3 linked regions of the Rattus norvegicus genome follow. The protein of the gene in region 1 interacts with the protein of each later gene in a biochemical or structural test. Links are inferred from orthologs where the notes say so. Each region holds a gene or a part of one and is shown in the gene's direction. Other genes may lie near its edges. The genes, in order: Oxsr1, Wnk4 and Wnk1.

Region 1 (3,647 bases):
ATCCCTAAATTACATACAAACCAGCCTACTTCTCAAGACTCTAGGTTACTTTCAGCACTGTATAGGATTTACTCATGAGTGTCACAGATGTGTTACTATATACATATTTTCCCATATACATACATATATTACTACATACAGCCTGTGAAAGGAGGGCACTCCAGGCCATACAGGGTCTTAAGAGGCCACCACACTTGGGAACAGAATGAACAAACATAGGCTGTGGAGAAAGGCTGGGGCAGGGGAGAGATATGAAGGAATATGGGACTTCATTGGTTTTCCTGGAATGGAGGCTATGGTGGGGCTAAACCTGCTTCTCAGGTAAGCAGGAGCTGCCCCTGATCTGTCTGGTAGAGAAGCTTGTGGGTATAGGGAATACTGTCCATGGAGGAAACTCTCCTTTGCAGACCCTCCTGTTCTACCAGAAGGCAGCACAGCACACATACTGACCCCTGAACTTCTCCTATGTAGCTCAGTATAGAAGATTAAAAACGTGTGACTGACGTGACAGTGGCAGTGGAGACTAGCAGCCTGTTCATGCCAACGGCTTAGCTATCCACAACCCCTTTGTAATGATAACATTCCAGCACGTACTTACATCACCCAGGAAACTGAGACAGAGTAGAGAATTCCAGGCCAGTCTGGCCTACCTAATGAGATCTTATTCTCAAGCAAACAAGAACCTCAGGTCGAGGGAGATGGGAAAGGAGTGGGGAGGTCAGTGAGGGGAAAGACATGGAAGGAAGGAGGAAAAAAATCATATAGAACATTTGGAACAGAAAAGGATTATGGAAAACCTTGGTTCTGGATTGTTCTTTTTAGTTGTTTTTGGTAAATAGAGTGAATCTTGTAATTATCAAACTTAATGATAGTTTTACACTTTTATAAGTGCTTTATCAGGAATACTTTCTGTGTTTTCATATAGAATTATTAAGTACTGCTGTGTCCTTTAAAGGACTGTAATGGTTGTAGTTTACTGGTTAAAGTTTGTGAGCACATTCTGGTAGTGCACACCAGAGGCTGAAGTAGAAGAATCAAAAATTCAAGGCCAGCCTGGGCTGCACAGGGAGACTCTCACTCCCACCTTCCCCAACATGACACACTAGAAACTTGTGCAAAAGTGTTTTAGCCTGGTTAAAGTAATTGTGTATCTCTCTCCCCCTCCCCCTCCCCCCAATCCCTTTCAGGTTCGAGGTTATGATTTTAAAGCTGATATCTGGAGTTTTGGAATCACAGCGATTGAACTAGCCACAGGGGCAGCTCCTTATCATAAATATCCTCCAATGAAGGTGAGGCTCACGTTCTAAGTATTATTCCCCGTCCAGTCCGGTGACTCTTCAGAGCCTTTTATGTCTGTCAGTCATAACCATAGTTACTTATTTTCCTAGAATTTTTATGTATATTTTAGCAAAATACAATCTTTCTACACTCATATAACCGTTTTTACTTTGTATTGTATAGGGATCAAGCACAGGATAAAGCATTTTTGGTTGTGTATTTATGTGATAAGTCTGTTCACGATGTCATCACCACACCCCGACTCTTCCTTGGGTTCAGAACCACTGACCTTTGGTTTAGTTCTTCACAGAATATGTACGGATTGCTGAACTTGCGTCCCTTTGCTGTCCTGCGCACACAGCGCTATTGGTTCTGACTGCATTTTGGTGTCTGGTATCCAGCCTCCTCGGTTCTCTACTCATCTGCCTTTCACAGGCTCTGCTGGCAAAGCAACTAAGGTTGCAGCGGAGGCAGGGAGAATGCGAACTAAGAGTGTGAATGGAATGTAGCCTTGCTTTGTTACTTAAACAGACAGAAGTCAAGGAGACACGGGGCGAGCAGTAGGTGAAGCTAAGGAGTCCATGCAGTTGTTTGGCAATGGAAGAAGTAGGTCTGTGAACATGAAGAGATAAGGAATTGTAACTGAAGGATGTAGCAGTGTCTGTCGGCAGTGGGCACTTCTGGGGATCCACCATTTTTGTATAGCTTTTAACTAATGTCCAGTCCACACGGGAGCCTTGGGCTCTCATCAGCTAGTCTGTTTCTTGTGGTGCTGGGCATTGAGCCCCAGGTCTCATACATTCTAGACAAGTTCATATTATCTATCCCCTGACTCTAAAACTCCACCTAGATGGTAACTTGTATATGTGTACCTGTGTGCATGTGTTCATGTGTGCATGCATATGTGTGTGTGTGTGTGTGTGTGTGTGTGTGTGTGTGTGTGTGTGTGTGTAGGCCCATGTATGTCTAGGCTTTTAGAGACCAGAGGTTTTTGTCAAATATGTTCCTCAATCACTTTTTGCCTTATATTTTGAAACACGGCTTCTCCCTAAACCTTGGAGCTTGTCAATTTGGCTGGACTGGCTGGCCCAAAGCCCGAAGGACCTCCCCCACCCCACCCCCCAGCCTCACTCCCCCTTCCCAGCTTGGATTTCAGACTTAGACCACCACACCCACCTTTTTTATGTGAGTTCTGAAGGGTTGAACTCAGGTCCTTATACTTACACGGCAATCTGAGCCATCTCCAGCCCCTAGATGTCAACTGCTAGAAAGTAAAATCTGCTTGTGTGTTGAAAGGTTTTATCCTTATTGAAAGTTCTTCATGTGTTTATACTATACTAAAAAATTTTGCAGGTTTATTGGTATACTTTTGTGGGCTACTTTGTTGGGTTCCTCCTTTCCAGCCCTAATTTCACCCCGATCCCTTCCAACTCCCATCACTAGGTAGGAAAGAAAGAAGGTTAGAGGGGAAAGGGGGCATAGGTCTCTTTAGACTACTTCCCACTGCTTAGGGAGTTCCTTGGGGCGAGTTCAGTTTTTGTCGTTAGGATATCCAATTTTTTCTTTTCATCTCTTTGCTTACAACCACTGGACAAGCTACAACAACAGAAACCAGCAGTAGCAGGGAGAGCAGCAGCCTCCACAGGCTCTCCTGGGGTTCTCCCATTGGTATACTCTCAAGAGTACCCAGAATTCCAGTCGTAAACTATCTGCAGCTGGCAAAAATCACATCCCTCCTAGAGCATGAGGCAAATCATAGTTAGCTGCTGTAGGCACTCAAAAGCCTGTGTCCACACCTGGGATTAAAACAAAAAACAGTCACATAGCATCACTGGGTTTTTAAAGAAACCAAAATTCTTACTACACAGGTTTTAATGCTGACACTCCAGAACGATCCTCCTTCTTTGGATACTGGTGTTCAAGATAAAGAAATGCTGAAAAAATATGGAAAATCATTTAGAAAAATGATTTCATTGTGCCTTCAAAAGGATCCAGAAAAAAGGTAAAATATTAGGTAAACATGACATGTGTGTTCTGATACGTACAACTGTGTGTGGGCGCACCAAGGGTTACCTTTGTCATGTACACAGTATTATGTGTGTATTCTTAAAATGAATGACTCACCAGTGCTGGAGACAGCCAGGAAGGCCACTGCACAAGCTGGAGGGGCCTGAGCTGATGTCGTGCACTCACAAGTGTATAATAGACCTAAGTTGCCCAGATATTTCTTGATTAATTTCTTAAAACTGAATTTATATTTGTGAATTCTGTATTAGTAAAATGCCATGTTAATGGGCAAGTTTTTCTTTTTTTCAACCTTCACTTAAAAGTGTAACTGCCATTTACAGTTTAATAACAAGAGGAGCACA
Region 2 (4,371 bases), on another chromosome or scaffold:
AAGGAGACAGACCTAGTGTCCCCACAGACTGGATCTGTCACTCCACCAGACTCAAAGGGCTCAAGTCCTGAAAGCTCAGACTTAGGGATGTTTCCCACATAACCTGTTCTATCTGTCCCTGGGATAGGGTAGCCCACAGTGCCATGGAGAAAGGATGTGTTGCCTGCCCTACCTCCTTTCCTATCCTGTACTGTCCCTGAGCTAGGGTCTATAAACCTGACACTTTACATGTGTTCTCACACATAAGTACACACCCACCTACATGCGCCTGCACAAGCTTCTTTCTCCTCCTCCTCCTCCCACTCCTGTAGCTGCTGTTGCCTCCCTTCTCAGGCTGGTGCTGGATCCTTCCTAGGGATGGGGGAAGCCCTGGCTGCAGGCAGCCTTCCAGGCAATATAAAGATAGGAAGCCCCAGAAGGGGCCTGGCAGTGAGAGGCAGGCCCACTGATTTATGATATTAAAATCTCTACTCCCACTGTCTGCCTGTTACTACTGCTGGATTGGGACTAGGGAGGGCGGTGCAGAGTTCCACCTGATTGAGTCCCAGCCAAGGAAATAGAAGAATCTTTGGCCTTTGTACGGAAGGGCCTGGGGGGCTCCAGTGAGCCTGTGGTTTGCCATGTGCTGGGTGAGTTGTGTGGAGGAGTGCGGGTAGAACACAGCTTGGGGACAGACTGCTTGCTCTCTAAACTGGAGTCACTTCATTGCTCCCCCATGGAAGTTCTATTCTAAAGCCCCTCCCTCCACCCATGATGGTCTGGGTGGGGTAGTTGTGGCCAAGGGGAGCTGGTGGGGTAAACCGGATGTGGACTTTGGTTTATTGAAGACTTTGGCAAACACGAGGGGAGGAAAGAGAGCCCACAGCAAAAAACAGCCTTTCTGGCCAGGGGCAGGCTCCGGCCAAGGTGGGGTGGAGCTGATGGGTGACCAGTTCTTGGTTGGGGCCTGGTGGTAGGGAGGGGCTTGTCTGGAGTAAACACAACCCATCCTAGTGCAGACCAGGGGGCTAGCTAAGTGAAGAAAACCTTACCTTTCCAACACCGATGTTAGGCCTGGGGCTACTTCTTCTGATTAGGACCGAGTAGTACTGCCTTATCAAGGGTGCGCAGGCTGGTGGTGCCCCTCCCCCTCACTGAAGCAAAGGAGTGGCGGTCACTTTTCATCTCCTGTTCCAGTGTTCTTCAACTCCCCCACCCCAAACATGTTTGCCTTCTCCTCGTGCGGGAGTATACCCGCTGCCGCCTCCCACTCAGCTCTTGCTGGGAAGAAGGTTTAAAGGCCGGGACTCTGGAAAGCAGGGCACGGAGCCGGGGGGGGGGGGGGGGCTAAGCACAGGTTGAGATGAGGGGCAGTACCCTACCTATCCCCACTGGGTAACACGTCAGGCTCACAAGGGGGCGGCCCTGGGGGGTGAGGACCGGTCTCGGCTGGGGGCGGGTTGTGGGGCGGAGCCGGGGGCGGGTCGCCGGGCAGGCCAGCCAGGGGCTGGGGCCCCAGCAGCTCAACCGGAGCGCTGCGTATCCAGCCGGTCTGCCTGTCAGGCTGCTGCCTCCAGCCGCCGGCTTTCCGTTCTGCGGCGCCCGGCCCTTCCCATGCTAGCACCTCGAAATACAGAGACCGGGGTCCACATGTCCCAAACGGAGGCCGACCTGGCTTTGCGGCCATCTCCGTCTCTCACCTCCATGGGGCCGACCCGCCTGGGGCCACCTCCTCGCCGAGTGCGCCGCTTCTCTGGGAAGGCTGAGCCCCGGCCGCGCTCTTCGAGACCGAGCCGCCGCAGCTCAGTCGATCTGGGACTGTTGAGCTCCTGGTCTCAACCAGCCTCACTCCTTCCGGAACCTCCTGATCCTCCGGACTCCGCTGGTCCCATGAGGAGCCCACCTTCAAACTCTAAAGAACACCCCGAGGGCACATGGACGGGGGCAGCCCCGGTGAAGGCTGCAGACTCTGCCTGTCCTGAGCTTACAGTATCTTCCGGAGGTCCGGGGTCCCGGGAGCCACCAAGGGTTCCTGATGCTGCAGCCCGGGAACGGCGGCGGGAGCAGGAAGAAAAAGAGGACACAGAGACCCAGGCTGTGGCAACGTCTCCCGACGGCCGATACCTCAAGTTTGACATTGAGATTGGAAGAGGTTCCTTCAAGACCGTGTATCGAGGGCTAGACACCGACACCACGGTAGAGGTGGCCTGGTGTGAGCTGCAGGTGTGCCTGGGCACCCCCTAGGTGGGATGGGCCCCTTTGGTGGTCTTAGGTTGGGGAAACAGGGAGGACAGCATCAAAGGAAGGATCACTTTTTTGTCAGATGTCCAGGCACTCTTGCTTTCCTTGCCGGCATGGTTTTACTGACTCTGGGTGGTTTCAGGAGAAACTGAGGCAGATGGTATACAGTGGCTCCCAATGAGCATAGACAACTTCACTTTCAAACCTTCTTACAAATCTGAGGGTTGGAAAACTGAGTTGCAGCGGGTAGCACTCCAGTCTCCTGCCTGGGGTATCACTGCCCCTTCCTCTCTTGCTCCTCCAAGTCCTGAAACCTTCTGCTGTGTCTCTGGTCCTCCTCCTCCTCCTCCTCCTCCTCCTCCTCCTCCTCCTCCTCCTCCTCCTCCTCCTCCTCCTCCTCCTCCTTCTCCTCCTCCTCCTCCTCCTCCTTCTCCTTCTCCTCCTCCTACCTCTTTACAAACTTAGAAATAATATGTGGGAGTTCAGGAGCTGAGGACAAGGCCCTCTCCACCTCCAGAAGGGGGTTCTCCAGGCCGTTTCTGGAGTTGTTGGTTTTACAGACTTCTTAACAGCCTCAAGGAGTGGGACAGGAAGCTCTAGTTCTAGCTGGAGTCCAGTTCAGTTTCTCATCCCTATGCATACCTGGAATCTCCTTTTCCATTGCCAAAGGAGCTGAGCTCTTGCAACCTTTGGACTTCAGGAGGATGTTGATTGGCAGTTTCTTCCTCCCGTGTCTCCCACTGTTATGTGTGAGTGGTCCCGGAAATTTTTAGGGTATAAAACCAGGAGGAAGGGTCCTTCCACTTTGGTCCTGGCATAGGGCTCTCCGCTAGTCACTGCTAGTGCCGCACCCCAGGCTCTAAGCCAGGCCAGGAGAATCAGCCAGACTCAGGGGAGGGAGAGGGAGAGGGAGAAAAGAGGGGTAGGGCAGCTCCTGCCATGGGGGGGTGGTCTCCTGGCCCTGGATCTTTTCTTTCTTGGTACCTTCCTCGGACTCTGTCTAGATTCTGCAGTTCCTAGTTTTTAAGGCCAACCCCTTGTCGGCCCCAATTCCCTGCCCGTGGTCTGCCTTCTGCCTGCTGCCTGCTGCCTGCCGTCTGCCACCCCCCCTTCACCCCACCCCACCCCTTCCACGGTCGGCTCTGGCGGCCACAAAGGCGCTATTGAGTGCATAGCTCCCAGACCTGGTTGCATAAAGGCGCTTGTGTCCAGCAGGGGGTCCGGAGTGCTGCCCCAGGCCCAGGGTGGGTGTGTTTTGGAGCAATAAGAAGGGATCAACCAAAAGTTGGGGGTCTACAGCCCTTCTGCTAGAGATCTCGCCAACTATACCCTCCCTCATTTCTCCCCCCACCATACCCTAGATGTCCCATGTCCTTCTTGGGGGGGGTTGATCTGGATCTGATGTGACCCTCCGTCACCCCCATCCCACAGACTCGGAAACTCTCTCGGGCTGAACGGCAGCGTTTCTCTGAGGAAGTTGAGATGCTCAAGGGGCTGCAGCACCCCAACATCGTCCGCTTCTATGACTCCTGGAAGTCGGTGCTGAGGGGTCAGGTTTGCATCGTGCTGGTCACAGAACTCATGACCTCGGGCACGCTCAAGACGTGAGCTCTGGCCTGGGTGGGAGGGGAGGGGTGGAATGTCACCCGTCACTCCAAGGCTCTGGGAACTTCTCCCAGTCACTTCAAACTTCCACACTTGAAACCAGGCTCTCTCCCACTTACTAGACTGTGTGAATGCCAGTGTACACCAAGCATACCAGTCAAAACTTTAGGTATCTTTACTGCAATGTACCTTCTTTCTCAACAGTGGGGTCACTTAAGTCTTTGTTTAACATCCTCCCACTGCACCCCCCCATCTTTTCCTCTACCTTGCTGCTATACCACTGACCCCTCCCAACTCCCAGAAGCCCTCCTAAAGAGCCTTTCCCAATCTGCCCTCCCTTCAAGTTATCCTATCTTCCTGCAACCCAGGGGAAGCCTGACCCTTTGACTTGCTCTTTTAAACCCCTTCAGGATTTCCCACTCCCCTGGGGGTAAAGTGCATTCACTCCCTCAGACACTCTCTTCTTGAGCTGAAGTTACAAACAACCCCAATTCTGTGATCCCTCCCATTCTGAACTGTCACTCCTGTGGCTCTCCAGCCTGGGAA
Region 3 (3,647 bases), on another chromosome or scaffold:
ACGTCATTATCGAAAATCTGTAAGAAGTCGTTCTCGTCATGAAAAGACTTCTCGCCCGAAACTGAGGATTTTAAATGTAAATATTGATTTTCAACCTTTGTATTATTTAAAGAATTTAGTACTTTTAATTTTAGAGATCATGAGATCTAAACCACTCACTTGGTTAAAATAAAGATGCCTTATCTTTATATATAATTTTATAGCAGATTTTTTATTTAATATACCTAATCTCTGTTAGTTGACTATTACATTTCTTTTTGTTGTTGCACCTAGCTCTGGAGTTTGAGCTGACAAAACAAAGATACTAGATACTTTCGTTAATGGAAGATGAAAAGAGGGCAAGGGCTGAGCAAGACCTCTCGGGTTTCTTTAGCCAGTTAAGATTGAAGACATTGATGGCGGTGGCACACACCTTTAATCCTAGCACTTGAGTGGCAGAGATAGGCAGATCTCTGAGTTCCAGGACGCTACATAGAGAAACTTTGTCTCAAAAAACCACATACACACCCAACGATTCAAGGAATTTCAAGATGACTTCTCAAATTCAGTAATAAATCAGAATATGAATTACCTTTCTCATTTTAGGTTTCAAATAAAGGAGACCGAGTAGTAGAATGTCAATTGGAGACTCATAATCGGAAAATGGTTACATTTAAATTTGACCTAGATGGTGACAACCCTGAAGAGATAGCAACAATTATGGTATGCCTCCATTTGGATTTCCACATTTTCCCATAGTATATGGTCTTAAGTACATGTCCTAGACAACCATGCAGTATTTTGCCATCCACTTTCATTTTAATGATAAATTTTATTTTCTGCTTTAAAACTAGCATACCCAACCCATGATTCTATGATTTAGAGATGGCTTTCGTCTAAGATGTAGCTGTGTATGTGTTCAGGGTCTTATGAAGGAAAGTAGTATTTTAAATACCACATACACAGTACAGCTGATGTACAGATTGGAGTCATAAAAATGAATTGGTAATTGAATGACTAAAAGCTTAAATAATGTACTAATGAGATTGATATCAAATTTCTTATAGGTGAACAATGACTTTATTCTAGCCATAGAGAGAGAGTCTTTTGTGGCTCAAGTGCGGGAAATTATTGAAAAGGCTGATGAAATGTTAAGCGAGGATGTCAGTGTGGAGCCTGAGGGTGACCAGGGATTGGAGAGTCTACAAGGAAAGGATGACTATGGCTTTCCAGGTTCTCAGGTATGTTCACCATAGCTATAGTTAGTTCTGTATTTAAAATAGTTCTGTACTGCCTAACCTATCAAGCAGAATATCCACTGATGCAATAGTTAGTACCTCTATGCCTGAGAATGAACATTTATGTGCGCATCAAATGTGACAGTTTGCTTTGCATAATCATGGAGGTTGCATTTGAGAAGAGTTTTACTTTTGCTTATTGTAGAAATTAGAAGGAGAGTTCAAGCAACCAATTGCTGTATCTTCCATGCCACAACAAATAGGTAAGCTTTTCTTTTGAAGTTGTATGTGCCAATAGTGAAATCTCAAGGCTTTATTTATATATAACAGTATATATGAATTTCAATGATTTGTTTTGTTCAGGTGTTCCTACCAGTTCTTTAACACAAGTTGTTCATTCTGCTGGAAGACGATTTATAGTGAGTCCAGTTCCAGAAAGTCGATTACGAGAATCAAAAATTTTCACCAGTGAAATACCAGATCCAGGTAAGAATGATTTAGCCACGCTTTGGTAAATCTTATAGCATCTCTGGTATGGCGGAATCTTGATCAAACAATAACTCATGATCAAATCAAAAGTATAAAATTAAAAGTAATAGTAAAGTAACATGGAAGAGGGAAATGAACTAAAATAGTGTTGAAATAAAATTTAGAGTTGAACATGACACGTGCATGTAATTTCATGCTCAGGAGACAGGGAAGAGGAAATGATCGGGAGTTTGAGGTCAGCCTGGGTGGCTACGTAACACCCTCTCTCCAAAGAAAAAGAAAGACAGCAGGCCATAAAGGACCAGGCGTGCTAAATAGAACCTACACAGTATTGTGTTTCTATACTTAGAGATAAATTTTGTTTTCAGGCTAGTCTTATGTTTGATGGTTTTCAAAATTATAAGCTGCCTTACTATGTCAAACTACTATACTGTTTTACAGCGTGTCATTTCCTTGGGAATAGTTATAAGACATACTGATGTGTAACATTGTTAATAATCCAATAATGTTTCCTCAAAGACACTCTTTTTGAATCCACATGTTTTAAATAGCGTAATTTCTTTATTTTTTCTTTTCTAGTTGCGGCCTCTACATCTCAGGGCCCTGGAATGAACTTATCTCACTCCGCTTCATCCCTTAGTCTCCAGCAGGCTTTTTCTGAACTGAAACATGGTCAGATGACTGAAGGACCCAATACAGCACCTCCAAATTTTAATCACCCAGGACCAACATTTTCTCCCTTTTTGACTAGCATTGCTGGTGTCCAAACTGTAGCAGCATCCACACCATCAGTATCAGTCCCTATAACAAGCAGCCCTCTTAATGACATTTCCACATCAGTGATGCAGTCAGAGGGTGCACTGCCCACTGACAAAGGCATTGGGGGAGTTACCACCAGCACAGGTGTGGTAGCTTCAGGTGGTCTCACCACATTGTCTGTGTCTGAGACACCAACACTTTCCAGTGCAGTTTCAAGTTCTACAGCGCCTGCAGTTGTCACAGTGTCTACAACATCCCAACCAGTTCAGGCTTCCACATCTGGGAGCATTGCTTCTAGTACAGGCAGTTTTCCTTCTGGAACATTTTCCACAACTACAGGTACCACAGTGAGTAGTGTAGCTGTCCCAAATGCTAAGCCTCCAACTGTATTACTGCAACAGGTAGCAGGTAATACTGCTGGGGTAGCCATAGTGACATCAGTTTCTACTACCACTCCATTCCCAGCCATGGCTTCACAGCCATCCCTTCCACTTGGTAGCAGCACATCTGCTCCTACACTAGCTGAAACAGTGGTGGTTAGTGCACACTCACTAGACAAGGCATCTCACAGTAGTACAGCAGGATTGGGTTTGTCCTTTTGCGCACCGTCCTCTTCTTCCTCCTCTGGAACAGCAGTGTCTAGTTCTGTTTCTCAGCCTGGTATTGTGCATCCTTTGGTCATCTCATCAGCTATAGCTTCTACACCTGTCCTCCCACAACCAGCAGTACCTACTTCTACACCTTTATTACCCCAAGTACCTAATATCCCACCCTTGGTACAACCTGTTGCTAATGTGCCTGCTGTACAGCAAACACTCATTCATAGTCAGCCTCAACCAGCTCTACTTCCCAACCAGCCTCACACACACTGTCCCGAAATGGATGCTGATACCCAGTCCAAAGCTCCTGGGATCGATGATATAAAGACTCTGGAGGAAAAGCTGAGATCGCTCTTTAGTGAGCATAGCTCATCTGGAACTCAGCATGCTTCTGTCTCCCTGGAGACACCCTTAGTAGTAGAGACTGTCACACCGGGCATCCCTACCACTGCTGTAGCACCAAGTAAACTCATGACTTCCACTACAAGCACTTGCTTGCCACCAACCAATTTACCCTTAGGAACAGCTGGCATGCCAGTTATGCCAGTGGGCACACCTGGTCAAGTTTCTACCCCAGGCACAC

The links.
Region 2: the proteins of Oxsr1 (region 1) and Wnk4 are reported together in a solved structure, tested with the Homo sapiens proteins (2 studies listed by BioGRID and IntAct, with this or other methods). The link is inferred for Rattus norvegicus from reciprocal best matches to the Homo sapiens genes OXSR1 and WNK4.
Region 3: of the proteins of Oxsr1 (region 1) and Wnk1, one has a biochemical effect on the other in vitro, tested with the Homo sapiens proteins (2 studies listed by BioGRID and IntAct, with this or other methods). The link is inferred for Rattus norvegicus from reciprocal best matches to the Homo sapiens genes OXSR1 and WNK1.

The regions. Positions count from the first base shown.
Region 1 is NC_086026.1:127,884,244-127,887,890, reverse strand, and holds part of Oxsr1 (serine/threonine-protein kinase OSR1), read left to right. Parts: intron 1-1,187; coding exon 1,188-1,289; intron 1,290-3,146; coding exon 3,147-3,280; intron 3,281-3,647. UniProt on the Homo sapiens protein: Effector serine/threonine-protein kinase component of the WNK-SPAK/OSR1 kinase cascade, which is involved in various processes, such as ion transport, response to hypertonic stress and blood pressure.
Region 2 is NC_086028.1:86,701,391-86,705,761, forward strand, and holds the start of Wnk4 (serine/threonine-protein kinase WNK4), read left to right. Parts: upstream 1-1,449; 5' UTR 1,450-1,593; coding exon 1,594-2,202; intron 2,203-2,889; exon of another isoform or gene 2,890-2,924; coding exon of another isoform or gene 2,925-2,969; intron 2,970-3,651; coding exon 3,652-3,824; intron 3,825-4,371. UniProt on the Homo sapiens protein: Serine/threonine-protein kinase component of the WNK4-SPAK/OSR1 kinase cascade, which acts as a key regulator of ion transport in the distal nephron and blood pressure.
Region 3 is NC_086022.1:154,825,081-154,828,727, reverse strand, and holds part of Wnk1 (serine/threonine-protein kinase WNK1), read left to right. Parts: coding exon 1-76; intron 77-585; coding exon 586-702; intron 703-1,046; coding exon 1,047-1,220; intron 1,221-1,422; coding exon 1,423-1,480; intron 1,481-1,580; coding exon 1,581-1,703; intron 1,704-2,285; coding exon 2,286-3,647. UniProt on the Homo sapiens protein: Serine/threonine-protein kinase component of the WNK1-SPAK/OSR1 kinase cascade, which acts as a key regulator of blood pressure and regulatory volume increase by promoting ion influx.